Linked DNA regions of Rhinolophus ferrumequinum. The protein of the gene in region 1 purifies or fractionates together with the protein of each later gene. This does not show direct contact. Links are inferred from orthologs where the notes say so. Each region holds a gene or a part of one and is shown on either strand. Other genes may lie near its edges.

Region 1 (11,614 bases):
CATCTCATCCCGACACAGCACTGGCCCCCCCTGGGGCACCAGCGTTGACATGGCCTTCGCCAGGTCATAGCCGTTTCTTTGTAATGTATCCATTGCGTGAAACTACAGGGAAAGTGGGAAACTGCTGATGACCTGAAACCCTCAGCACGCTCCCCTGCTTTTACTCTCTCAATGCACCCACTTGCTCAGACACACCCTCCTCTCCTTTCCCCAGGCTCTGCAGATCCCCACAAAGCCCAGCCTGCCCGACTTCCCACCAACTTCTGCTCACCAGGGTGATATCCCGGGAGGCAGCGGCTGCACTCATGTGCAGGCTTGGCTGCCGAATGGAACTGCTACAATCTAGGGCTCTCGCAAAGGTCCCCACCGCTCTAGGAGAAAAGTTAAGAAGTCAGGAGGGCAAGAGGAAAGCGCAAGTGGGCTAAGGGAATAAGCCTGATGAGAAAAAAAGAAAAACACCCAAGCCAACAACAAAAAAATAATGCCCACCTCTAAGAGCAGGACTCAGAATGATGTCCACACCTCCCCCAGCCCATCTTCCCCAACCACCCGCCCCTCACCGGGCCACCACGAGAAACTGATCAATCTGCCGGTCTGTGAGAGGGTTGTCTGGATCCCAGACTTTCATCTCCATCTTCTGCTGGTTCCGGTTATCAGATTCTCCTGGGGCGATGGCATCATGGGGAGAGGGAAAGGAGAATAACAGGTGTCTTGAAGTTCACAACAGCACCTTGGTCCTCATCTCCCGAGTGGACTCTATCAGCCACCTCAACTCTCAGGCTTCTCTTCCCAACTGTGCCCACTTGCCCCTTCCAGGTTCCTGAGGTCTCATTTTGTCAGGGTCACAGCACAGAGCCACGCAGACTGCACTGCACGACACCAGCGCACACGACTCACAGAGACTACGATGTCAGATAACCCAGGAGCCACACAGCCTGTGCCATTGCTTACCGTCTGCCAGGCGATCTGGGATCTCAGCTTGGTATTTGCAACCAACTCGGATCTCCCCCTGATCAGCTAGAAGTGTCTTCTGTACAGGGTCAAACACCAGTGAGTAAAAAAAGCAGTCCTGGAGACGGGAAGAGAGGAGGTAAGCAGGGCAGCAGTCCTCACAGGCATGGGGCAGTGGGGTACACCCCGAGTTCCCAAGACAGGCAGTCTGTCAACCTATACCTCATCGCACTCCTCCTTTCCTCTTGCCTTTGGGGGCAATGCCCACTCCCCTCCCTTTTCTCCCAATACCTCTTGCTCACCTCCTTTTCCAGGTACTGGCTCAAGATATCAGTCTCATTCAAGAGGGTCACACTGCATTTTCCCCTACAGGAGAGGGACCAGAAGACCTTGGGTGAGCTCCTCATGCCCTCTCCCCAGCATCCCCAGTACACTACCCCTCCTTTCCATCTTCTAAATAAGGGCCTGCTGGCCACAGTGGCCCCAATTGTCCCATACCGTATGTGGGTGGCTGGTAACGACTCAAACTGCCGAGAAAGGAAAAGCTCCCGGTGCTTCAGTTGATGTCGCTGCTGCTCCGACACCCCTGGCTGCTTTGATTCCTCTTCAAACTCCCCTGAGAGATTCAGGAGGAAGAAACCAAGTCAGAAACTAATCCAGAAAGAAGCCACCTCAGACACTCTAGCCCAAGGAGAATACTTCCTGTCTCAGCTGTTTCTCCCACTCTCCCCAGGCATCTGCCTTCCATCCCCTCACCCCCTCAGATTTCACGCTTAGCCCTCTGCCCCATCAGAGATGCTCCCAATTCTCCAGCACTAATGTTCTTAGGAAGAGCTGCTGAGAATATGAAGAATGCCACAGAAATCCATCCCAAACACAGGTGCCAATGCTCAGACACCATTCATAAAGCACAAATCTGCCCACACCAGGCCCAGCAAGAATATCACACTGGTCTCTTTCTTGCTAAACCAGCCTGAGATCCAGAAACTCAGTAAGATTAAAAAACACATCACACAAAGTTGTGTTTACCAGTTCCTCTTTTCAGAGCTCAGGAGACTCTTTGCTCTTAAACATCACAGGCAACCCTAACTATTCCTCACTTTCTACTTGGCTAATAATAGTTTGTGGGGCTTTCAAGGACAGCACCTCTCAAGCCAGTACCAATACCTTCCTCCCCAAGTAAGTGCAACTTGCCCTGAAACCTTGGTGGAAAGGGTTAACCTGGCTGGGCACCAACCAAAGTGGGAAGGGGCAAAAGAGCCACAGGCCCAGGCTCATTGGTGCATTGTTCCCAACCTCAGGGGGGGCGGGGTGGGGGGGGGAGGCCAGCAGGCTCCACCCCTCGCCTGTGTGCTCCGGAAACCCTGTGCTAAGAGGAGGGGACCACACCTCCCACACCCCCCCACACCCCTTCTGATTGGACAAGGCCAAGGTCAGCCCCTGCCAGATGGGCCTGGAAACCCCAAAGGGCCAGAGAACTTGGTAGGCCCGGCTCCTCCTTAACCCCTTCATGCCCACAACAGCCAGGAAGAAGGAAAATAATTTAGGAAGGAGGAAGAAGAAGGGGAAAGTCAAAGCAGGAAAGGAACAGGACACTAAAGAAAAGTGAAGGAGATATATTTTTTGAAAGAACGTGAAAGCATAAAGAGAAGGAAGACGACTACAGGAAAAGAGAAAGATATAAAATGGAGTAGAGGGGAAAACAGGAGAGGTGAGAAAGAGGAAGAAGTGCAAGAAAACTTTCCTCACTTCCTATTCTGTCCCGTCAATGTAGTCTCACCACCTGGTGATCACAATATAAGCCTGCTTCCCTGTTGTGCAGGCTTCTAAGTACAATCTCATCCTCTTCACCTTGACCTTCGGCCATGACCCATTGTCCCAACATACCCAAACTGTCCCCCAAGGGTCCTGCGTCTCTAAAGCTCCTCCTCATGCCCTATTTAAATACTATCATCTCTTTACCCACACCATTCACCTAGACACACTTACACACAAGACACATTCTGGCTCTCCTTATCATGGTCTCTTCGCGCTGCTTCCATCCAACGGTTAAAAACAGGCCTCCCTCCACAGAACAGGCATTTCCCACCCCCAAGCTCACACCCCTACCTAGGGCATGCAACCAGGAGAAACACCTGCAGGGACATGCCCAGGCCTCAGCTCACCGGGAAGGGGCGGAAGGGGAGCCGAGGGTAGGGTGGGGGTACAAAGACACTCACTGGCATTACTATCGGCCAGGCTGTTGAGGCTACCAGAAATATCCCTTCGCCGGAAAAGGCACACAACCTTTGCCTCCACATTTCCATTTGCAGTCTAGGGGGAGGGGGGAAAATGGCAGTGAAAACTGGTCATTTGAAAATAAAAATGCACAAAGAAGAGACTAACAACAATAAGTTTCTAAGGGATGTAGAAAACACCCAGAAATTAGGAATGAGACTTACATTTAAGCACAGACTTCCAAATCTCTTTCTTTAGCCCACAAGAGATAGAACACTAAAGTTCCCACTAAGCTCTAATAGCCAGCCTTTCCTGAATACATTGAATGAATGAATGAATGAATGAATGAATGAATGAATATGAATAGGTACTTAGGATAGGTTTCTCTCCCCACCCTCCCCCTCCACCTGAAGTTAGAGACCTAAGAAAAAAGAGATCACTTTGGGGAAGCGGGGTTGGCGGATGGATTCTGTTCCACTCACCTTGTTGAGCTCCTCAATCCGTCTAACCAGGTAAGGATTGCTGGAGGAGTTCTCAAAATAGACGTAATCTGTAGGAGGCGGTGAGGAATAACCGAAAAAATCAGGAGAAGACGGGAGAGCCAAAGTACTAGGGTAGGAGGAGACCAAAGCAGGCCTGGGAGGACCAAAAGTAGGTAAGGGTCCAGGTAGAGAGGACGCTGAAATGTGTAAGTGGAGAGACTAAGAGAAAACAAGGGATGCCCCTACCCCTGGCCACCTAGTTCTAAAGTCAGACCCTTCGTTCAAAAGCGAGCCTTCAGAAAGAACCAAGAAGCAGGGGGCTCCCCTGCAGTACCACCTCAGCGATGGGGTTGCACTCTAGGCTCAGGGAAGGGAGCAATTATTGTTCACTCTAGCGCAAGGCCCCCCCTCCTTTGTGAACCGAGGCGCACATAACGCCTGGGGAGAAGAAACCTCCCGGTGGCTCCCCCGCAAGAGGCAAAGCGGTCGCCCGGGCCCGTCGCGCCCCTTGCCTGCCTGTCAGCTCCTTTGGAACCACTTTCCCAAGCCCCGCTTCCCGACCCGGGGGACCCCAGACACAACCCTGAGAGTGCCGTCGGGGCTGCCCCCAGCCTCTCCGCGAGCCTCGGCGCCGGGTCGCGTCGCCGTCCCAGCACCCTCGCTCCCCGTGCCCCCGGTTCCGGTTCCGGTCCACTCTCGGAACCACGCCGCCGGGGGCCGAGGCGCTCTCGCCCAGGGCCCCGCAGCCCCCGCGCCCAGTACTCACCTCCCACCCGGTACATGTTGGCCGCCATGGCCGTTCCCGCCGCCGCCTCTGGCCGCACAAAGGGGTCCGGGAGGCTCGGGGGGGTAGGGCTCGGCTCGAGACGAAGCCCGGAGCGCGGGGCTGGCGCTTCGCGGAAGTCTCGGTCAAGCCCGCGCAGCCGGCACCTCCGCTGCCTCAGCCGTCGCGGTTCATCTCGGTCAGCGCTGTCGCCGCCGCTGCTACTGCCTCACACCGGGGACGCCGAGGCCGGCGCCGGTCCGCTCGGCTTCTTCCGGAACGAGCTCGGCTCCCGCCGGCCCAGAGCCAGGCTCCGGAGTCTCCCGCCCTCGCAGAGCCCCACCAGACTTCGGGCCCTGCCGGCCGCGGGGAAGGCTGACCCTGCCCGCCTCGGGGCTCGCCTCCTTCCGGAATACCTTCGGTCGACCGGGAGAACAAGGCCCGGCGCTCGACTCAGGTCGGAGAGCGAGACCCCACAGATCGGCCACTTCCGGAAGCAGTTCGGCTCCCTCCGGCCAACCGGGGCCCCGCGCTCGGTTATTTCCGTTGCAGCTCCGCCCCTCCTCCGACGCCGAGAAGAGTTGGGCTTAACTCTCTCCTCGCGGGAGCCATGCCGCTCCTCCTGCGGCCCCGAAAGACTCGCATGCCTGCGCTTCGCGGGCTTATTTGCAAGTGGCTTTGCCTGTCATTTGCATGAATGGTCTACGCTCCCTCACCCTTTCCGCGCTTCTCTTTTCCTTAATCCCCACCCCCACAGGGCCCCGGAGGCGCCCAGCCGCGCCCCACAAAAGGACTGGGAGGCGACTTTGCTTTTTGGTTTATTGCCCCTCAGCAGGCTGCGGGAATCAGGGTCCAGGCTGGGGCAGCCCGGCTCAGCCAGCGGGTCTATACAGTGTGTGCAGGGGTGCCGTTGTCCCCCTCCAGGGAAATGCGCGATCGGGAATGTCTCCAAGTCGAAGAAAGGGTCGGCTCCTGGTCCAGGGGTGTCGCGTGGGGCGGGGCCACGCCGCGGGACTGGTGGGCCCGGTCTGGCAGCGATCAGACGTCCAGAGAGGAGGCGGGGGACAGGGAGGGGGTTCGAGAGGGCGTAACAAGCGCCGGCCCCGCGCCCCCGGCGCCCAGCACTCGCCACTGAAAGATGCTGGCGTCTTTGCCACCCAGCGAGATGAGGTGCGAGTCGTCGTGAGTGAATCGAACGCTGGTCACGTGGCTGCCGTGGCCGCCGTACACAAGGCTTGGCGCCTGGGTTGGGGGAAAGGTCGAGTTGCGGGAGCTGCGCAGCCCCGGGCCCTGCTCGCCCGCCCAGCCCCAGAGGCCCCGGGAGGCCTCACCTTGGCGCGAGCGCACGGGTACTGGAAGAGGTGCACTTTGCAGAAGTCGTCAGCCACAGCCACCACGCGCTCGTTGTGGGAGCGGCACAGGGAGTTGATGTCGGTGCCATCCGAGCCGTCCGGCCACACGCCTAGCACAGTGGCTGGCCTCAGCCCGGCCTCCTCCCCGCCTCCACCCACAGCCCAGAGCTGTACCCTTTCTTGCGCTCCGGCGGCAGCGGCCACCCACCGGCTGCGTTCCTGGCAATCCTTCCCGAGGGAGGGCCCGAGGGGCCTCCTGGACTGGATCTGCCAGTATCATGATGCCCACCCCTCCACACACGCCCAGCATTCCGAGCCCGGGGCAGGCTCCACCTGTCCCCCCCCCATCCCTCCTGCAGGGTTCCACAACCCTGCGTCCCTGCTCACCGTAAACATGGAAGCCCAGCACGCAGGTGTAGGTGGCCCACTCCCGATCTCGGCTCTCATAGCGATTCCTCAGCAGCTTGCAGCCTCCAGCCACATCCCCTGGAGAGACGGAGCCCACTGTGCTCAGCCCTCACCCTGCCCTCGGTGGGGAAGATGCCATGCCGTGAAGGCCAGATTGGAAAGACTGGCTTGAGGCAGTGGCATGTGATCTACTCACCTTAGTAGCCCTCAGCCCAGGCAAAACCCAGCCCCGTTTGCTTCCTGAGTTCTCACGGAAGTTCTCCTAACAGCTTCTCATCAGTTATTCCTCCCTAGATAAGGCAATCCCTCCACACCTGCCCTGAGAAACTTTTTCAAAACAGCCTTTTCTCAGTGCATTTTTCAACTCCCTCAAATCCTTGTGGGAACAAGAAAAACATGGTGTAAAACAGTATGTGTGGCTTTTTTTCAAATCACAAAATTTTTCCTATATGTAAAATTCTGACTCCAATCCCATCTCCACCTCCCCATCTAAAAGCTCCTCTGCGTGGAGCTCCCTACATAGGCTTCTTCATCCCCTCCCTACCAGGAGGAACACACACACACACACACACACACACACACACACACACACACAGAACCCACCCCAATTACCTTCTCCCCGTGCCCATTCTATTGCCACTCACAGTAAAGGATCTCATAGTCCCCAGAATTGGACATGATGAAGTTCCCATCCTTGGACCAGTCAAGGTGAGTGATAAAGCTGGAGTGACCCTGGAGCAAAGGTTAAGAGGCTAAATATGGAGCTCCCATTTCCCATCCCCGGACCTCCCTTAATGCACTGGACCCTTTGAGGAGTTTACTTGCTATGGCAATGTCCCACCCTCCACCCCAGTTTCCTCACCACACAGCGGCCAAAGCGGCTGGACTTGGCACCATCACTGGAAACGCTATAGATGTAGATCATGTTGTCATGGGAACCGATGGCCAGGTACAACCCATCTACAAAGACAGTCACTCAGACAGGAAAGGGCCAGGGAACGGTCTGGGTCCGGGGTGGGGATGGCTCCCACCTGGGCTGTACCGGACCACTGAGAGCTGCTCATTGCCATCGGTGAAGTCAGACACGATCTCTCTGGTCTCTGTGTCCAAAACCAACCACCTGGAAGGGAGGGGAGCGGGAAGCAGGTGTGCTGGGCAGCATGGGGGCTGGCAAGTTGGAGAGACTCAGACACACCCCCAGAAAGGCTATGAGGTAGACAAAGAAGTAGGCACTGCATTGATATGCTGGGAAATGAGAAAAGGCGAAGGGCAGATAAAAGCTGAAGGGTTTCTGCTAAAGGAATACAGGGCTGGACTACAAGAGCCTTATGGAGTCCGTAAGCCTGTCACTTCCCTGTGTTAGTCTCCCCACGCCTCCCATCCCTGCTGCTTCTCTATCCTGAGCTGCCACCTCCTCCACTCCCCAGCTTGGAGGGGAGAGTGGTGGGGAAGGTGTGATGACAGATGACACAGGAGAGCAGGGGGGCCCAGGTTGCAGGAAGAAGCAGTGAGGAACAGGAAGGTGCAGTTGGGGCTCCTGAGCAGGTAGTGATGACTCTCCTTCACACCCCCTCCCATTACCAGAAACCCTCCCCATACCTCGTGCTTTCCCCTCCCAGGAGTCCTGACTCCCTCTCACCTCCCAGTGTTCAGTCCTACAGCCACAGCTGCCCCACTGGGGTGGAAGTCTGCACAGAGACCAGTCTCCTGCGAGAGGAGAGAAGGTGAATTCAAGAAGATGCCTTTCTGGGGAGGGAACCAAGACAGACACCTTGATAGGTGTCTTGGTAGGGTCAAAGCCTCCTCCTCCCAAGGAGGAGGCAGGAGGAGAGGGACGGTAGACCTGGGGTGGAGGCAGGATGTCACTGGAGCCTAAACGGCGGGTGATACTCAAACATTTAACAGCCAGAACTGAGGCCCCCAGCTAGGCCGGAGATGAACCGTCAGTTGCTGGATCAAGAGAAGGTCTGGGGCGTTGGGGCCCATTGGAGGCATCGGCATGGAAGAATGAACATTCTAGTAGCGTACAGCCATATACCAGTATCCACTGGCTGCCCCTGGGGAGCAGAATGGAAGGGGATATTGAGGAAAGAACCTCAAGCCACGGGAGTCATGGTGGATGTGGCACTGGGGGTCCAGGGACACAGGGCTCTACCTTGAGGTCAATACTCCAGGCCAGCGCGTGGCCCTCCCCATCCCACAGGCAGAGCTGCCGGTCATGGCCGCAAGTGAGGAAGCGGTTCTGGAAGGGATGTGTGCACAGTCCCCAGAGCTCGTCCGTGTGGCCCTGCAGCAGAACATATGCTGTCACCTCTGCCCCGCCCCAACAGCTCTTCCCGCCTCCTCCCTAAGCCTCTGGCTCCCCAACCTGGATCACAGGGGAGAATCCCTGGGCCAGATCTCCCCTCAGCAACGCGTTCTTCGTAGTTCCCACCAGCAGCTCAGAGCCCAGCCCCTCAGCAATGGCCCGCACAGCCCCAAAGTGTTCAGGAATCTAGAGTGGTGGCAGAAAGTCAGGGGCCCACTGGCCCTTCGTCATCCCCCTCCCTCCCTCAACCCAGTCCAGGCCTCACCTCAGTCTCCTGGAGGGCCACCAACCCAGGCCCCCACTGTACCAGCCGGCGGTCCCGCCCACCACCACTCAGCACGGTCCCATCCCGCCGGAGACACAGGGCGAAAATGGAACCTTCGTGAGCATGGGCCTGGGCCACAATCCCGTAAGTCTCTGTTGGCAAAGTCCTGGGTGGGTTAGGCTCTTGGGGTGCAGGGAAGTGGGGAACGGGAGCAGTCTAGTCTGTCATAATAAAGTAATAACTGCCAGCATCTGAGTGCCTACTGAATACCATCTCTGATCCCTGGCTATTATTCTCCCTAGTTTACAGACTGGACAACTGGGACTCAAAGAAGTGGGATAACTTCCTAAAGGAGAGACAGCTAGTGGCAACACTGGGATTTGAACACAGGATCTGGCTGACACCAAAACCTCCGCCCTTTACCCCTTGCCATGCTGCTCCCTACCCTTCTAGACTGGCCCCCCAGAGGGCTCTGCTGGGGTCCACAGAGAACTATCAACTCACAGCAAAAAAAAAAAAAAATGGGTAATCCTCTGTTCCCACAGACACTCTGGGGTACTAGACTTCCCAGATGCCACCCACAGCCACATACCTTTGGCCCCACCCCTGCCTGGGGTCTTGCAATCTGAGACGCTCCGCCCCCAGGTGAGAATGTTCCCCTCTGAGTCCCCAGTGAGAATGTCTCCATCCGGGAGGAACACAAAGCAAGGGATAAACTTGGGTTTCTTGTATTTCTAGGCGAGAGGCAAGCAGAGAGCAGAGGGAAGAGCAAAGACCAAAAGTCACGGGACAGTTGGGAGTTTGGTAGCATTAGGGTCCTCAGACCAATACTTCCATCTCCACTCTGCCCTCCCTGACCACCCTGCACACATCCACACCTCACCCCAAAGACACCCTGTTTCCGGGTGAGGGCCCCGTTCCCAGGAACCCCTGCTCCACCACTCCAGTTCCAGAAGTGGACATGGGATTTCCCGCTGGTGACAATGCAGCTGCTGTCACGAGGGCTGAAGCCAACAGCCAGGACGGAGTCATTTGTGCTCTGAAGGGAAGATACTAGATTCAGCCACCCCAAGCCCTGAGCACCCTCACTCTACTTGACTCTCTTCATGTGCATCCTGACAGCTGGTCTACAGAAGTCCAGAAACCCCTTCCTTCCAGACCCTCGTCCCCTAAGAGCACTACTCACAGTCCCTCCTGATGAGTCACCCCAGTGCCTCACACATTGCCTCCTGTGAGGTAAGAACTTCCGTAGTCCCCATTTCAGCCTCGGAGAAGCTGGGAGGCTGGTCCGAGGTGACCCAGCCAGAAAGGAAGTAAATGTGTGGCTAAGTCTGCACTCTCTGCATCCCAGTACTCCCACCTCTCCACCCTTGGTGCCCTGCAGGCCTCCTGGAGTCCTCACCTTAATCTCCGCCAGCTTGGTGCCCCGGCTGCAGTCCCACACAGACAGCATGTGTTCATTTGAATCATCCACCACACAAAGAAAAGCACCCTGATCCTAAGGACGGGGACACATATCGCAAGAGCTGAGTGTGGTCTAGAGGTCTAGGGATTCAAGGTCATTAGGCAAGGGGCGCCATCAGAGGTTGGGAGGGCAGGAGAAGTGGACACATGTCCCTTTCTCAGGAGAACTGGCTGGGCACGGATCAGGAAGGCCAGAACTTCTGAAGCTTCCCAATGAAGTGCAAGAAGGGGGTTCTCAGACAAGGAAGATGGGGGTCTACAGGCTTTGGGGCCAGCTTACCGCAACTGAAAAGGCCAGGGCCCCCACACCCCGCTCGAAGGCCCCCAGTCCAATCTCCTGCAGCTTCAGCAGCGTCTCTGAGTCCCAGACGTGAACCACAGGCTGCAGAGGCTGGAGTGGGAGGAGGAGGGGTCAGGGGCACGAAGGGAAGCTGGGCTGGAATTTCACCCTGTCCACCTGGGTTTGATTTTGGCCTTACCTTTCCATCCTTATCCACTCCAGCCGTCTGTCCTGAGGCTACACGAACACCATCAGGGTGAACGGCCAGGCTAAGTGGAGGAGAGCACACTCTATGGAAGGCGGTCAATCTCTCAAGACCACCCAGGACACCTTTTCTACGTCTGCAGAGCAGCAAGGCAGCGTCTCTCTCTGCTCCTCCACACCCACCCAGGCCCTCTTCCTGCCAAGCCCCCATCCCCTTGCCTAGAGCTGCCCACTCCCAGGCCCCAGGACCCTCACCATCGAACGCAGTCCGTGTGCCCCCGGTAATGTCTCTGGCCGCCACCTCCAGGACCCCCTGGGCCTCCCCCGGGCCGGTACAGCACCACCACACAGGCAATAAAGTAGACTACCTCCCCAGAACGCAGCACAAACAGATTAGAGCGGGAGTCCCGACCCCTGTACCCATAACTGGAATGGGGATCACGGTCAAGGAAAGGGTTATATGAAGGGCAGGATGAGGAAGAGGGGAGCAGGACAGAGCTTTTGGCTGGCAGTGCCACTGGCAGAGGATGGTAGGGGAGGATTCAGGTCTCCCTGTCCCCGCAAACCCAGGAGCAAACCATAAGGAGGGGGGGGCAGTTCCCAAGATGGGAAAGATGGTTCCCATGGGCCTGGAGGGGGCAGGATACACCCAGTCAAGGCTGAGGGTCTCCGGGGGTGGGCCGCTGGGCAGCTCCTCAAGGCTGCGGATGCCAGATGGGATGTACATTGTAATTGGGCGGCCGCGAAGGAACATCTTCACTGAGATGCCTTCTACAGAGAAAAGGGGGGGTGTCAACCACCACCCTGAAGCCTCCCTCCAAGAAAGCCAGAGCAGAACTCTACCCACCACACCTCACAGGTACCCCAAAGTAGCTCCTGGGGCTGTAGCCCAAACCCTAACTCTGTCATCCAAATTCTTT
Region 2 (11,843 bases), on another chromosome or scaffold:
CGAGTGAGTGTGTGGGGGACACAAGAAGCGGGGCGCCGAGGCTCACCCCCCCACACACATGGACACCAGTGCTTGGTGCCTGGGACAGCAGGCCTGGCCGCTCACCGGGGCCGTGTGCTCGGAGCGCACATGGTAGTCGTGGCCGGCCTTGGAGCGGTAGGTCTTGCCGCAGTGGATGCAGGGGAAGGAGGGGCTGTCCACCTCACAGGGCGGCCTCCCGCAGCGTCGCCGGTGGTACTGGTAACCCATGAGGCTGGAGAAGGCGGCCCCACAGCCCTGGGAGTCAGGGGCCTGTAAGTAGCCAGCAGGGGCGGTGCCGGGCCGCCCCCCGTACCCACCCCCACGCTGCCCACTGACCTCCTGGGGGCAGCGCAGCCTCCCCATCTGCTTGAGCACCTTGCGCAGCCTCTCCCGCTCCTCCTGCTCGCTGCCCTCGGAGGCCCCGGAGGCACAGGGCTGGGGGCAGGCCCAGCCTCAGTGCCCCCGCCACCAAGGGCCCCTGCCCCTGCCCATGTCCAAGGTCAGGCCTGGGGCCACTAGGCTCTGCCACAGTGTGGCGTGAAAGGTCAGCGGTTGGGGCTGGGCAGGTGGGGTGGGGTGGCATAGAGTGGGCGGCCAGGGGTCAGGGGTCAATGGTCAGAGCTGGGCGGCAGCTGGGCCCAGTGGCGTACCTTGGCGCTGTGCTCAGCCATGGTGTGGTAGTTGAGGCCGGCTTTGGACTTGAACTGCTTCCGGCAGTGCTGGCACTTGAGTGCATCCTGCAGCTGCAGACATGGCCCTGCCCATGAGAAGCTGGACCTGGGCACCGCCCCTCCTGGCACTCCCGGGCAGCCTTACCTTCTGGCAAACCTCCATATGCTTCTTGAGGCCCACGAGGGTCTTTCGGGCGACCACCCTGCAGGTGGGGCAGACGGCCTGTCCCCGTTCATGGATGGCCCTCTGCCACTGCTCCTCAGGGCCACCTGGGGGACAGGGCCAGGGCCTCAGGGGCTGGTGGGGGCTCCCGGCACCCTGGACGCCAAGTGCAGGACCCAGGGTCCATGGCCAACCCCCCATCCGTGTGCTACAGGGCGTGCCCCACAGTTGAGACCTGGCCTGGGCCCCAGCACACAGCAGCCCCCACCTGGGACCGGGTGGGCCACAGGGGCCGGGACCTCCTTGATGACGGTGCTGGCAGGGGCCGGCACCTTCTTCCGGACGTCCTCGGCGCTTGGGCCCTCCTGCTTCTTGGTGCGGTAGCCGCGGGATTTGTCTTCAGCCTTGGCCAGGCCTGTGAGCAAACGTGAGGAGGTGCAGGTGTGGGCCCAGGGCACAGGCACCCTGCACCAGCCCAACCCCACAGGCGCCCGGCTGGCAGGGGCCTCACCTTTGAGTCCAAAGGTTCCTGAAATAGATGGCTGTTCCCCTGTAAACTTCTTGGGTGTTTTCTGTTTCCTTCCTGACTCGGGGGAGAGAAAATGGGGACCGAGATTCTGGTCAAATAACCATCAGGAGGCTGGCCGCTGCCCACCCCCCCAGCCATCTGCCCCCCCCCCCCGCTCTCCTCTTACTGTGCTTTGTACGCTCCGCTCCCTCCGCAGGTGGGGACACAGGGCCTGTTGCCCTCAGCGCCTCCTTGCCCCCCAAAGGCCTGTTGCCCAGAGAAAGGGGGCCACTGCTGGAGCCTGCGCTCAGCTGGAAGGCCGAGCTCTGGCCCATGGTGGACGGCCCATACTCCCCGTTCTCTGGCCTCGCCTGCTTGGGTGGGATGGGGCAGGTGTCCAGGCTGTCTGCAGCCCTGCAGGGAGCAGGGAGGTGAGGGGCAGGAAGGCGCACTCGGAGCCCTGTGACCCCAGGCTGCAGCTGGGGAGCACCCGAACCCCGAGCCGGGAAGGAGCCCCCGTACCTTTTCTTACCACTGCCCCTCCCCGCGGCTCGAGGAGTTTTGTTCTCAGACTTGGTCAGCAGCACCATTTTGCAGGACGGTGTGTGTCTGCTGATGGCTATGGGTCTGCTGACGGTCACCAGCTTGCTGACCACAATGGGCCTGCTGACCGGCACTGACTTGGTGACCGGCACAGGTTTGGTAACTGTCACAAGTTTTGTCATCGGCACCGGTTTGTTTGCAGTCACCGGTTTGGTGACTGGCACCAGCTTGCTGACTGTCACTGGCTTGGTGGTCGGCACAGACTTGGTGACCGGTATGGGTTTGGTGACCGGCACGGGCCTGCTGACCGACACTGGCTTGGTGACCGGCACCGGCCTGCTGACCGTCACTGGCTTGCTGATGCCAATGGGTTTGCTGACACCCACGGGTTTGCCAATAGTGACAGGTTTGCTCACTCCGATGGGCTTGCTGACTCCAACGGGCCGGCTGATGGTGACTGGCCGGCTGACCGGCCCAGGCTTCGGGGCGGGCAGGGGCCGATCCATGTGGTTCCAAATCTGATGCTTCTCCAGCTGGGTCTTGGAGGTGAAGGCGGCCTCACAGAAGGGGCATGGAAAGGTCAGCCTTTCTGAGATAGCACCCTGGGAGGAGAGGGCAGGCATGGGGTGGGTCGCCCGGGCCGCTGCCCGGACACACCCCAGCAGCTAGGCAGCACAGGCTCAGGCCTCGTGTTCCCCGACCCACAGCCCCTTACCCCTCGGCACCGCTGGTAATGGTACTTGAGCCCGTAGATGCTGGGAAACTCCAGCCAGCACCCCGAGTTTGGACACTTCACCCTTGAGTGCGCCTTGAACTCGTCTTTCCACTGGTTCATCAGGGAGAGCTGGGCGTGGGAAAGGCCGGGCTGCTGACCCCTCAGCCGCGCAAGCCTCTGCCAACCCGAGCCCCGGACTCAGCACCCTGCTCAGGCCTGTGGGGCAGACGGGCTACAGGAGCCCTGGGACCTCGGGAATGCACCCCAAGCAGCAAGGGAGCACTAGACCTGTTCTAGAGGCCTCACGGACGTGGTCAGCTAGGCCCAGGCCACACACGAAGGCCTGAAGCACAGACTGGCCTGCTGACATGGGCCGAGGGCATGCTGCTGGACGTGTGGAAGGCAAGTAGAGGCAGGGCAGTGGCCTCAACAGGCCGACCCCACCTGTGCCCACCCTGCCCTCAGGCAGCTCACGGGAATGTCACGGAGGGCCTGGTTCTCAGCTTTCGGACGCCCCTTTTTCTTTCCTTCCGTCCTGTCGCTGGCTGGACTTTCCGGGTCAAAGCAGAGTGGGGCCTGGCTGGGCACTATCTGCCCACCCCGGGCCACCGACAGCCCTGCAGGACACGACACAGAAGGCTGGTCAGACCTGGAGTGAGCCTTGCTACCCCCACCACAAAGGCACGAGGGCAAAAGGCCGCAGGACAAGAATCCAGGCCCCTGCCCTGGGAAGGCTCTCAGGAGCCCAGGTGGCCCACCTGGCACCCAGGAGCGGGACATCTGGGGAGGTGGCCCACACCCAGCACTAGCTGACCGTGACAGCTTAGAGTTGACCTTGGCCTGAGCCCTCTTACCCAGCTTCGGTGGGTCGTGCCGCACAGGAAGTCGGACCTCATTCCGGCTGCCCTCTTTCCCAGTCCCACTCTTGCTGGACCCCGGGAGCCGGCGGCCGCCTCCCACACCGAAGGGATCGGTCATCGCTGCAGAGCAAGTGGACAGACCTGTGAGGCCCCCCAGGGCCCACTCGGGACTTGAAATGGCTGCCCTTGTACCCCACTCCCAGACAGGCCTGCTCTCTGGCCACGGGCAGGAGGGACTTGTCTGCTGTGCTCTTGGTCACAGGGAAGTCAGGTGACAGGGGGCTTCTGGTTTAGAAGGGCCAGATGACCCTGGAGACACCATCAGCTTGGAAGGATCCAACCCTGTCCTGAGACCCTCACCAGGTCCGATGAGCTCCCTCCCTCCCTAGACACAGAGTCCCAGATGTGCCGTGAATCACACACCTCACACCTGGAGCTGGGCTGGGGGCCCCAGGAGAGGGGGAGTGCTCGGGCGGAAGGATCCCTCCTGGGGGCCAGTTACGACACCAGTATGGCTGTGGGCCGGGCACCTCGGGACAGCTTCCTGCACAGACGCAAGGCAATGCCACACTACCGAGGCGGGTGGCCCTGGATCCTCCTCCCCAGGACATACATGGAAGATAGCCAATGTGGGTGCTAAGGGCTCCTGCCCACTCCCCAAAGGCATGCACCCCCGGGCGGGGGGCAGACCAAGCACTGTGGACTGTGTGGCACCTGGGTCTGGTCCTCATGGCAGTGCAGCCATCCTACCTGACTTTTCTTGGCCTGTACCAGCCAGGGCCCCTCCGCCCAGATGGAGGCCTCGTGCTGGGCCTCTCGGCCGCCCTCCACCTGACTGGCCTCCGTACCTCCAACTCCCAGAACCTCTCTGTTCCCCACCGACAGGCCCACCAGCACCACTCCTGAGACCACTGTCCACTGGCCACCAGCCACAGGGAACATCCACTACCTGAGGCTGGACCTCCATGGACCGGAGAGCTGGAGGGACTCTGTTGGGTCCTCCCACAGGGACACGGAAGCCACAGAGAGTGGGGGTTGGGGGTGCAGATTGTGTGGGCAGGTGACCCCGCTCCTGGAAGTTTCTAACTAACTTAGATCAGAGGATGGAAAGGGGCTGCTCTCCCTAAGAGGGTACAGAAACTATCTGGGCAGCAGGAGGTCAGAGGTCAAGACCGTCACTGCCCATTGCCCTGCTGGGCCCATAGCCTGGGCCTGGAGGGAGGTATGTCTGGGTCTAGATAGGTCTGTACTAACTTCTGTGGACGTCCTCACATTGCAACTTCCAAAGGAGATGAGCCACCGTCAGTCAGTCACCCCAGACCCATGATGACCCCAGCAGCCTGGGGTGCGAGTACCTGCTGGGACCCCACTTTCCAGTCTTTCTCCAGCTTCGGTGGAGATTTCAGAGTTGGGGGGCCTGGGGCCAGGGCTGGCTTAGGAAGCAGAGACCCTCCTTCCATCCAGGGCCTATGAGTCTGGCACCAGGAGAAAGGGCTTCCGCCCTCCTGGAGGGCCCAGCAGAGACGAAGAAGTGGGACCCTCACGGAGGTAGGGGGCGCCGCGCGCTGACCGCAGGCGACGCTGGCAGCAGGACCACCGCCAAGGCCGCAGGGCCCTGGACCCGGGCTCAGGCCCGGGAGCGCAGAGGAAGCCAGCCAGACGATGCACACCTGGAGGCTGGCCTCACCACCCACCTGTCACCTGCGGCCGGGGTGCGGGCCGGGCCTGGCCCCGGAAGGGCCGATCGCGGGCGCCTGGGGAAGGGGGGGCGAAGGCAGTGAACCAAAATGGCGACTTTTTCTGGAGAAGGAGGAGGCAGGAACCCGGCGCCCGCGCCGGGCGCGGGGCGCGGCGCAGGGGGTCCAGACGCGGCGGGGGACGGCGGGCGGGGGCTCCCGCGCGGTGCCCCCGACCTGCGTACGGGGTCAGGGTCGGGGGCGCGGCCAGCGCAGGGGCTGCTCCGGGGTCGAAGCCGGGGTCGCGGCCGGGCGCTTACCTGCGGCGCCCAGCGGGACGGCGGCGGGGCGGGGGCCGGGGCCCGGCCGGGGCCGGACAGGGGCGCGGGGCGCAGGGTCCGGGCGGCGCAGGCTGCGCGCCGCGCTGCGCACATGCGCGCTCCCGCCCCTCCCACCTTTGACAGTTTTACTGTGGGGGGGGAGGGGAGGGGGCGAACTCTCGCGGTATTCCTGCGGCCGCTCCGCTACGGGGAGGGACGGGTCGGGGGGAGGGGGCCCGTCGGGCTAGCTGGCTTTCTGTACCCTCGGGTCCATCACATGCATCCGCCAGGCCTCCAGTGCAGTGACCAGTTATGTGGCCCATAGGGCGGGAGGCCTTTTTCAGGCAGTTGGGTAAACTGAGGCACCATAGGGGCGCAGCGTACTGCCCCAAACCCAGCGCGCTCTGGTTGAAGTTGCCGGACTCCTCTACGCCCTGGCCCTGGGAAGGTGTGGCCATCGCCCTCCCAGACCCTGAACCCCTGACCCCTGGGGGTCTTCTGCCTGAAAAGCAGAGTCCGGCTTCTTTTCCAGCTACCCTTGTGACACCTCTGCCTGTGGCCATCCTCTGAGGCTCGCTGGCAGGCCTTTATTGGGGTTACCATCTTTGGAGCAGCCTGTCAGCTTTGGTGGTGGGGGGGGTGTTCCTAGACCGGTGGCTAGTGTGTGGCTCCTCTTTGCCCCAGAACCTGGTCTTCTGCAAGGACACTGGTATCAGGTCTGAGGTGATGGGTACCGACCCCACCAGGACTTGGGAGTGAATGAACCAGGAAGGGGTGGCAGTGGGGAAGCAGAGTTACAGGCTGCACCTCAGTCCCTGGGGCCCTTCCCACCGCTGTCCTTACACTGCACCCGCCTGCACTCCAACCCCTCTGGTCACATAGGAGCAGGCTCGGGTTGCACTGCTGGTGCGCAGGGCACAAAAGATGTGGCAAACTTGGGGTCTGCCTCTTCTCACAGGGACCCTTGGGATCCACTCTCGATGCCAGCACAAAGTGCTCACACAGAGGCAAGGTGGAGTCCCTTTGTGGAGGGGTCAGTCGGTCAGTCCTTCTCTTGGAAATCAGAGCCAGAGAGAGGTCTGTGTGACACCAGGAGGAAGAAGGAATGTCCCTCTGTTGTTGACTGGGCCCACCCTGGGGATAGGACACTCAGGATTTCAGGAGGGGTCAGTGTGTGTGCCCTGAGGTGCATCCAGTTTTGTCAGCATTCCCCATTTAAGTCTGCATGTCTGTGTGTGTGCCATGTCAATGTCGGTGGGTATGTGTCCGAGTGACCATGTAGGTCAGGTGGCATCCTGTTTGAACATCAGTGTCACGGTATGTCTGTATCCTGTACTGACAAGATGCCTGTCTGTATGTCAGTACCCAGGTGACTGGACATAGGGCGTGGGGGTGTGTCTGGTACTCACAGACGTGTCCCGGCTGCGGCATGTCTGGAGATCAGGGTATCATGCAATATCATGTGTTTGTATACAGGGTGTGCAATGCCCCAGGTGTTTTTGTATGTTAAGCGGTCATTGTGTGTCTGGGACGCTGTGTTGGGGTGTGTTGTTGTGGGTCTGGATACTGGTTTCATTGTCTCAGAGTGTTGGTATCTGTGTTCAGACTGCAGTGGTTGGTTTATGCCTCTGTTACTATCTGTGTGTCTGGCTGCTGCCTGGGTACATGTCAGGGCACATGCTATGTCCTGTATATTCCTATGTCAGGGCACTGCCCTGTGGGGGACTCCAATGGGAGTCCCCCAAAAGGCATCCGCATCAAATCCCTGGAACCTATGAATGACCTTATTTGGAAAAAGGGTCTTTACAGATGTGATTGAGTTAAGGACCTGGAAATGAGATCGTCCTGGATTATCCGGGTGGTGCCTAAATCCAGTGATAAGTGTCTTTATAAAAGGGAGATTTGGGAGGTCAGAGGTGATGTGACCACATGGTCCAGGTGCAGTGACGTGTCTGTGAACCCAGGAATTTCCAGGCAGCCACCAGAGTTGGGAGAGCAAAGGAAAGATCTCTCCCCTGAGCCCGGAGGAGCAGGCCCTGCTGCGTTTCAGACGTGGCCTGCAGAACTGTGAGAGAAGGAGTTTGTTGTGTTAGCCTCTCGGTTGTCATCATTTGTTATGGCAGACCCAGGAACCTATCACACCTGTGTGCCTCTGAGTGCAGTCCACCGGCCTGAGCCCAGTTCCAGCCTCTGCCTTCAGTTCCCCCACGCCTGGCATAAAGAGGCACCCTGCCAGGATGTGACATCACTGCCCCCTGGTGGTCAGGGCTGGAGGCAGCTGGGCTGGGAACCCCCTCATCCCAGACCCAGGGCGGTGCCCATCCTCACACTCCAGATGACTTCAGCTGGACACCACACTGGGGCACTTGAGAACCAGGTTTATTTCTGGTCTTTTTATCAGAATATAAAAAGTGAACACAAAACAAAGAAGACAGGACAGGAGCTTGGGGATGGGGGTTAGGGAAGCAAGACAAAGGAAGAAGGGGGGCAGAGATGGGAAGGGCCCTCTGGAAAGGGCGCCATTGTGATGGCACCAGGTGGACAGGGACACTCAGGGCAGCTAGACAGGACAAGGGGACTTCCCATGGGGGGACATACAGGATGGGAGGGGCACCAGGCCAATTGTCCAAATTCCACCCGTGACATGCACCAACCAACCTCCTCTCTGGCAGCCAGCACAGGGAACAGAGGGGGCGGGGTGCTCAGCCTTGTCTGCACCCCCCAACTGAGGTTTTCAGAGCCCCTCAGGGGAGTGGGAGGGCAGAGGAACAAGAGGGACGAGGCAGCAGGACAGCCCTCACTGTCCCCTCTGCTGGGCAGCACCAGCCCCAAACCTCAGCCCTTGGGGCCAGGAGAGAGTGGTTATTCAGGTGCCTACTGGGTCTCTGGTGGGGGGGGCCGGCATAGCCCTCAGGACAGTCTCTTTGTGATGTGGATTTCCCTGGGAATACCCGCCCATTCCTCTGCCTCCATAGTAGAGAGAGGGTAACTTACCTCTCTCCAGAGAGGTAAAGTTACCCTGAGAGGAGGGTAACGTTCCCAAACCTCAGGCTAGGACACTGCTGAGCCCAGTGCTGGGCGCCAGGTGTGGGGTCCCTATCGTGCCATGTTAGTTCTCGGGCGCTTGGGCAATCCCGGACCTGCCTCACCTCGGTTGCAGTGACTAGATGGGGGCATGGTGGCGGGGAGGATGCCTGGCCAGATGGACGCTGTTGGCCATCATCTGGGCAGTGGGTTCAGCCTGTTTGGCGGGGTCAGGGGCTGGGCACAGGGAGCCTTGGCAGTTTATCCCACCTCTGTGGGCACTTCTCTAGGAGCTGGAGGAGGGTGTTGAACTGGACAAGTGGGTAGACAGACAGATCTCTCACCCTGGGAGAGGGCAGGATGCCCCAAGGAAACGTGACTCAGCCAGCAATGGGGGACAGACGTCAACATGGGTGAAGGGAATATAAATAATCACTCCTTGGGAGTTTGGGGACCATCCAAACCCCACTCTGGCCCCAGGTGGCTGCCCCACATGCTGCCAGCAGCACCAGGGGTGGGCCTCGGTTCAGGTCCTGGGAGAAGGGGCCACACTCAAGCAGCCTCCACGCACCCGACCCTAGGCATAGCCCAGAGTGCACAACCACAGGTGGCTGGACGGGCAAATCTGGTCACACCAGTCCATTGGGCCCGGCTCGGCCCCTGGGGATGCCTGCAGGGTCCAAGAGGGGCAGCATGGCCAGCTCTGCCTCGTCCTTGCCATGGGCTCCGGTCACAGTGCTGGGGTCTGGGGTTCAGGCCTCAGGCAGCAGCTAGGACATGTTTCCGAAGGAAGCTATGGGTGGATGGGGTGAGGAGTGGGGGTCTCTGGCATCGTCCCCTCTGCCATGGGCTCAGGATGGCCCTTACTGGGGTCCCACACCAGAGTCCCGCCACCCACCCTACACTCAGGCCTCCAGCCCCGCCCCCCTCCCCGGCCTCTACGGCACTCCTGGCTCCTCCCACTGACCTTGGCTGAGCAGCTGCAGGCTCCGCCCCTCTTCGCGCACCTGCAGGCGCAGCACCTGCTGCAGTACCTCCTGCCGCTGCGCCTCCTGCGCCAGCCCCATGCGCTGCAGCTTCTCTGCGTTCAGCCGCAACAGCGCCCGGCCTGGGGGCAGGGAGAGGGGCGGGGCCGAAGTCAACTTCCGGTGGGCAATCGGAGCCAAGGCGGGGGGGGGGGGGGGGAGGAGGGGGCCGGGACTCAGAAACAGAGAGGGAGACTGAGGAAATGTGGGGAGGGACACGGAGACACATAGATGCAGAAAGACGGGGTGGGGGGGCGGGAGGGGGATGGGGGGAAGGGGAGGAAGAAAGAGAGGAAATGGGCAGGGAGACAGACACACAGATGCGGAGAGAAAGGCAGGGAGAGGCAGAGGAAAGCCAGATGAAGACACAGAGAGGCTGGGAAACACAGTGGCAGGTTCCGCAGAGACAAAGACCGGAGGAGAGGCTGACTCAGGAGGAAACAGGAGAGGGTAGGAAGAGGAGAAAGGACAGGCTCGCCTGGGATCCCCGTGCCCCCAGCCCCATAGCCCCCAGCCCCACAGCACCGGTGATGGCGTGCTGGGAGAAGGCCTCCACGTAGACGAGGTAGTTGTGGGGACAGTGCTTCTTGAGCCACTTGCAGACGTCCTGCTGACTCCACAGGACCACAGGCCTCGTCAGGCCACCCAGTGAGGGACTCGTGTGGTACAGGCCACAGTGGTCAGAGTACAGCCAGCCCTGTGAGGGAGAGGGGTAGCAGATAGAATGAGGTGGTGGGGATGGCCGGGGCTGAGATGGGTACGGTGGCTGGGTACCTGGGGGGTCTCTGTGCCAGGCTGCTGCAGGAGCTTGACTGGCCGGCCACCTGCTGCCCTCTGACTGCGTGAGTCATGCCATGTGAGGCTGGTGCCTGGTGTCCTAGGCAGGTGGCAGGGGATGCTCTCGGTGGACACCGTGTGCTCCAGGAGGGTCCGGCAGAAGCTGAAGTGGGCAGTGGCTGCAGAGGAGGGGTGCCTGGTCAGAGTGGTCAGGGGCCCAGCCAGAGGCTCCCCTCGTCACTCAGCCCATCTCCCCTCCACTGAAGAAGGAGCCACTTTCCCAAAGGCAGAAGGAAGCATCGAGAGCTGTCTTGAGGGCCCCACCCAGCCCAAAGCTGAAGAACTGGAACACCTGTACCCTCCAAGTCCACAGTACATGTTCTGGGGAGCCAAATGGATTCTTAGAGAGAGCGGACGCCCACCGGGAAGCCTAAGACTTACAGCCAGGGGTAGGGCTCTTCTGGGACAGCCCTCACCTCATGCTTGCCTTGGGCTGGCACATGCCACACCTAACGAGGGTGCACACACAGGCCCTTCCTACGAGGAAACATTGGACCGGTGTCCTGGGAGGCCCGTGAGGACCGGTGTCCTGGGAGGTATGGTGAGGAGACCCCCTGGGTGCACTGCGGGCCCATCGCCACGGATTGTGCCATCTCTGCAGACATCCCTGCCACGTGAGGTTTGGCCCTGCCCAGCTGTGCTCACTGGTTGTGACTCATGGACAAGAAGCCTAAACTCTGGGCAAGCCAGGACCTGGGATTCCTGCTCCCCCACCTCCCACAGGGTCGCCAACCCAGGGTGACTGCTGTGCATGGTGGGTCTGCAGCCGCCATGGGCCGCTCAGCACAGGCCCATAGGCTGCAGCCATGTGCTCAGGGACCCCTAGTGACACCTGGAGCTCTCTTCCCGTACCAACTTCATTACACTCGTCAACACTTTGGTTTTATCATCATTTCTGGGCTGGCTGCTGACCTGAGTGGGGGAGGAGCAGTCGCCTGTTCACTGCCCCTCCCAAGACCTTGCACAGGTCCTGGTGCAAAGGAGGTGCCCAGAAGTGTTGTGATGAATGAACGGATGGACGAAGGTTCTGTGTGATGTGCATCTTTACAGCATCCAGGTCCTCACTCAGCAGGGAGACCTTCCTTCCCACGGACACAGCCCCCCACCCCTCGGGCAGGATTTGGCCCTGTGCCTAGGTCTCAGTAATGGGGGAAACCCACATCTTGCTCCCCTCCTTCCACCCCATTCCTGCAACTTTCCACTACCAAATAACCACAGGTGCCTGTAAATTTGAGGTCTAGGGTCAGACTGAGAGTGTGGACGATGCCTCGAGGTGGCTTCTAGTACCGTGGGAAAAGAATTAAAGCCGAGACCTTTCAGGGGACAGGCCCTGGGTCGCATCGCCTTGCCTCGCCTCGCCAGGGCCCGGCCTGGGTAAACCAGTCGGACACCTCCGTGGGCGTCTCACCTGTCCCGGGTCAACGGGACCCGCCCATTTCCTGCCCGCGCTGGGGGGAGGGATCTCTGTGGGTACATCCGT

Evidence for each region.
Region 2: the proteins of MTA2 (region 1) and ZNF512B purify together in Homo sapiens (affinity purification with mass spectrometry; 3 studies listed by BioGRID and IntAct, with this or other methods). This does not show direct contact. The link is inferred for Rhinolophus ferrumequinum from reciprocal best matches to the Homo sapiens genes MTA2 and ZNF512B.

Annotation. Positions count from the first base shown.
Region 1 is NC_046294.1:8,172,430-8,184,043, reverse strand, and holds the start of MTA2 (metastasis-associated protein MTA2), read right to left. Parts: upstream 5,072-11,614; 5' UTR 4,445-5,071; coding exon 4,417-4,444; intron 3,719-4,416; coding exon 3,651-3,718; intron 3,265-3,650; coding exon 3,171-3,264; intron 1,568-3,170; coding exon 1,450-1,567; intron 1,318-1,449; coding exon 1,254-1,317; intron 1,070-1,253; coding exon 952-1,069; intron 664-951; coding exon 561-663; intron 372-560; coding exon 272-371; intron 103-271; coding exon 1-102. Other genes in the region: EML3 (echinoderm microtubule-associated protein-like 3), read right to left, coding at 5,452-5,655, 5,745-5,875, 6,153-6,251, 6,818-6,905, 7,036-7,133, 7,205-7,293, 7,813-7,919, 8,329-8,460 and 9 more. UniProt on the Homo sapiens protein: May function as a transcriptional coregulator. Acts as a component of the histone deacetylase NuRD complex which participates in the remodeling of chromatin.
Region 2 is NC_046306.1:208,158-220,000, reverse strand, and holds the start of ZNF512B (zinc finger protein 512B), read right to left. Parts: upstream 5,535-11,843; 5' UTR 5,478-5,534; intron 4,026-5,477; exon of another isoform or gene 3,905-4,025; intron 3,602-3,904; 5' UTR 3,600-3,601; coding exon 3,476-3,599; intron 3,239-3,475; coding exon 3,096-3,238; intron 2,751-3,095; coding exon 2,622-2,750; intron 2,509-2,621; coding exon 1,886-2,508; intron 1,778-1,885; coding exon 1,551-1,777; intron 1,439-1,550; coding exon 1,367-1,438; intron 1,271-1,366; coding exon 1,124-1,270; intron 963-1,123; coding exon 838-962; intron 765-837; coding exon 672-764; intron 457-671; coding exon 358-456; intron 277-357; coding exon 106-276; intron 1-105. Other genes in the region: SAMD10 (sterile alpha motif domain-containing protein 10), read right to left, coding at 9,272-9,294, 9,469-9,609, 10,052-10,223, 10,301-10,482. UniProt on the Homo sapiens protein: Involved in transcriptional regulation by repressing gene expression. Associates with the nucleosome remodeling and histone deacetylase (NuRD) complex, which promotes transcriptional repression by histone deacetylation and nucleosome remodeling.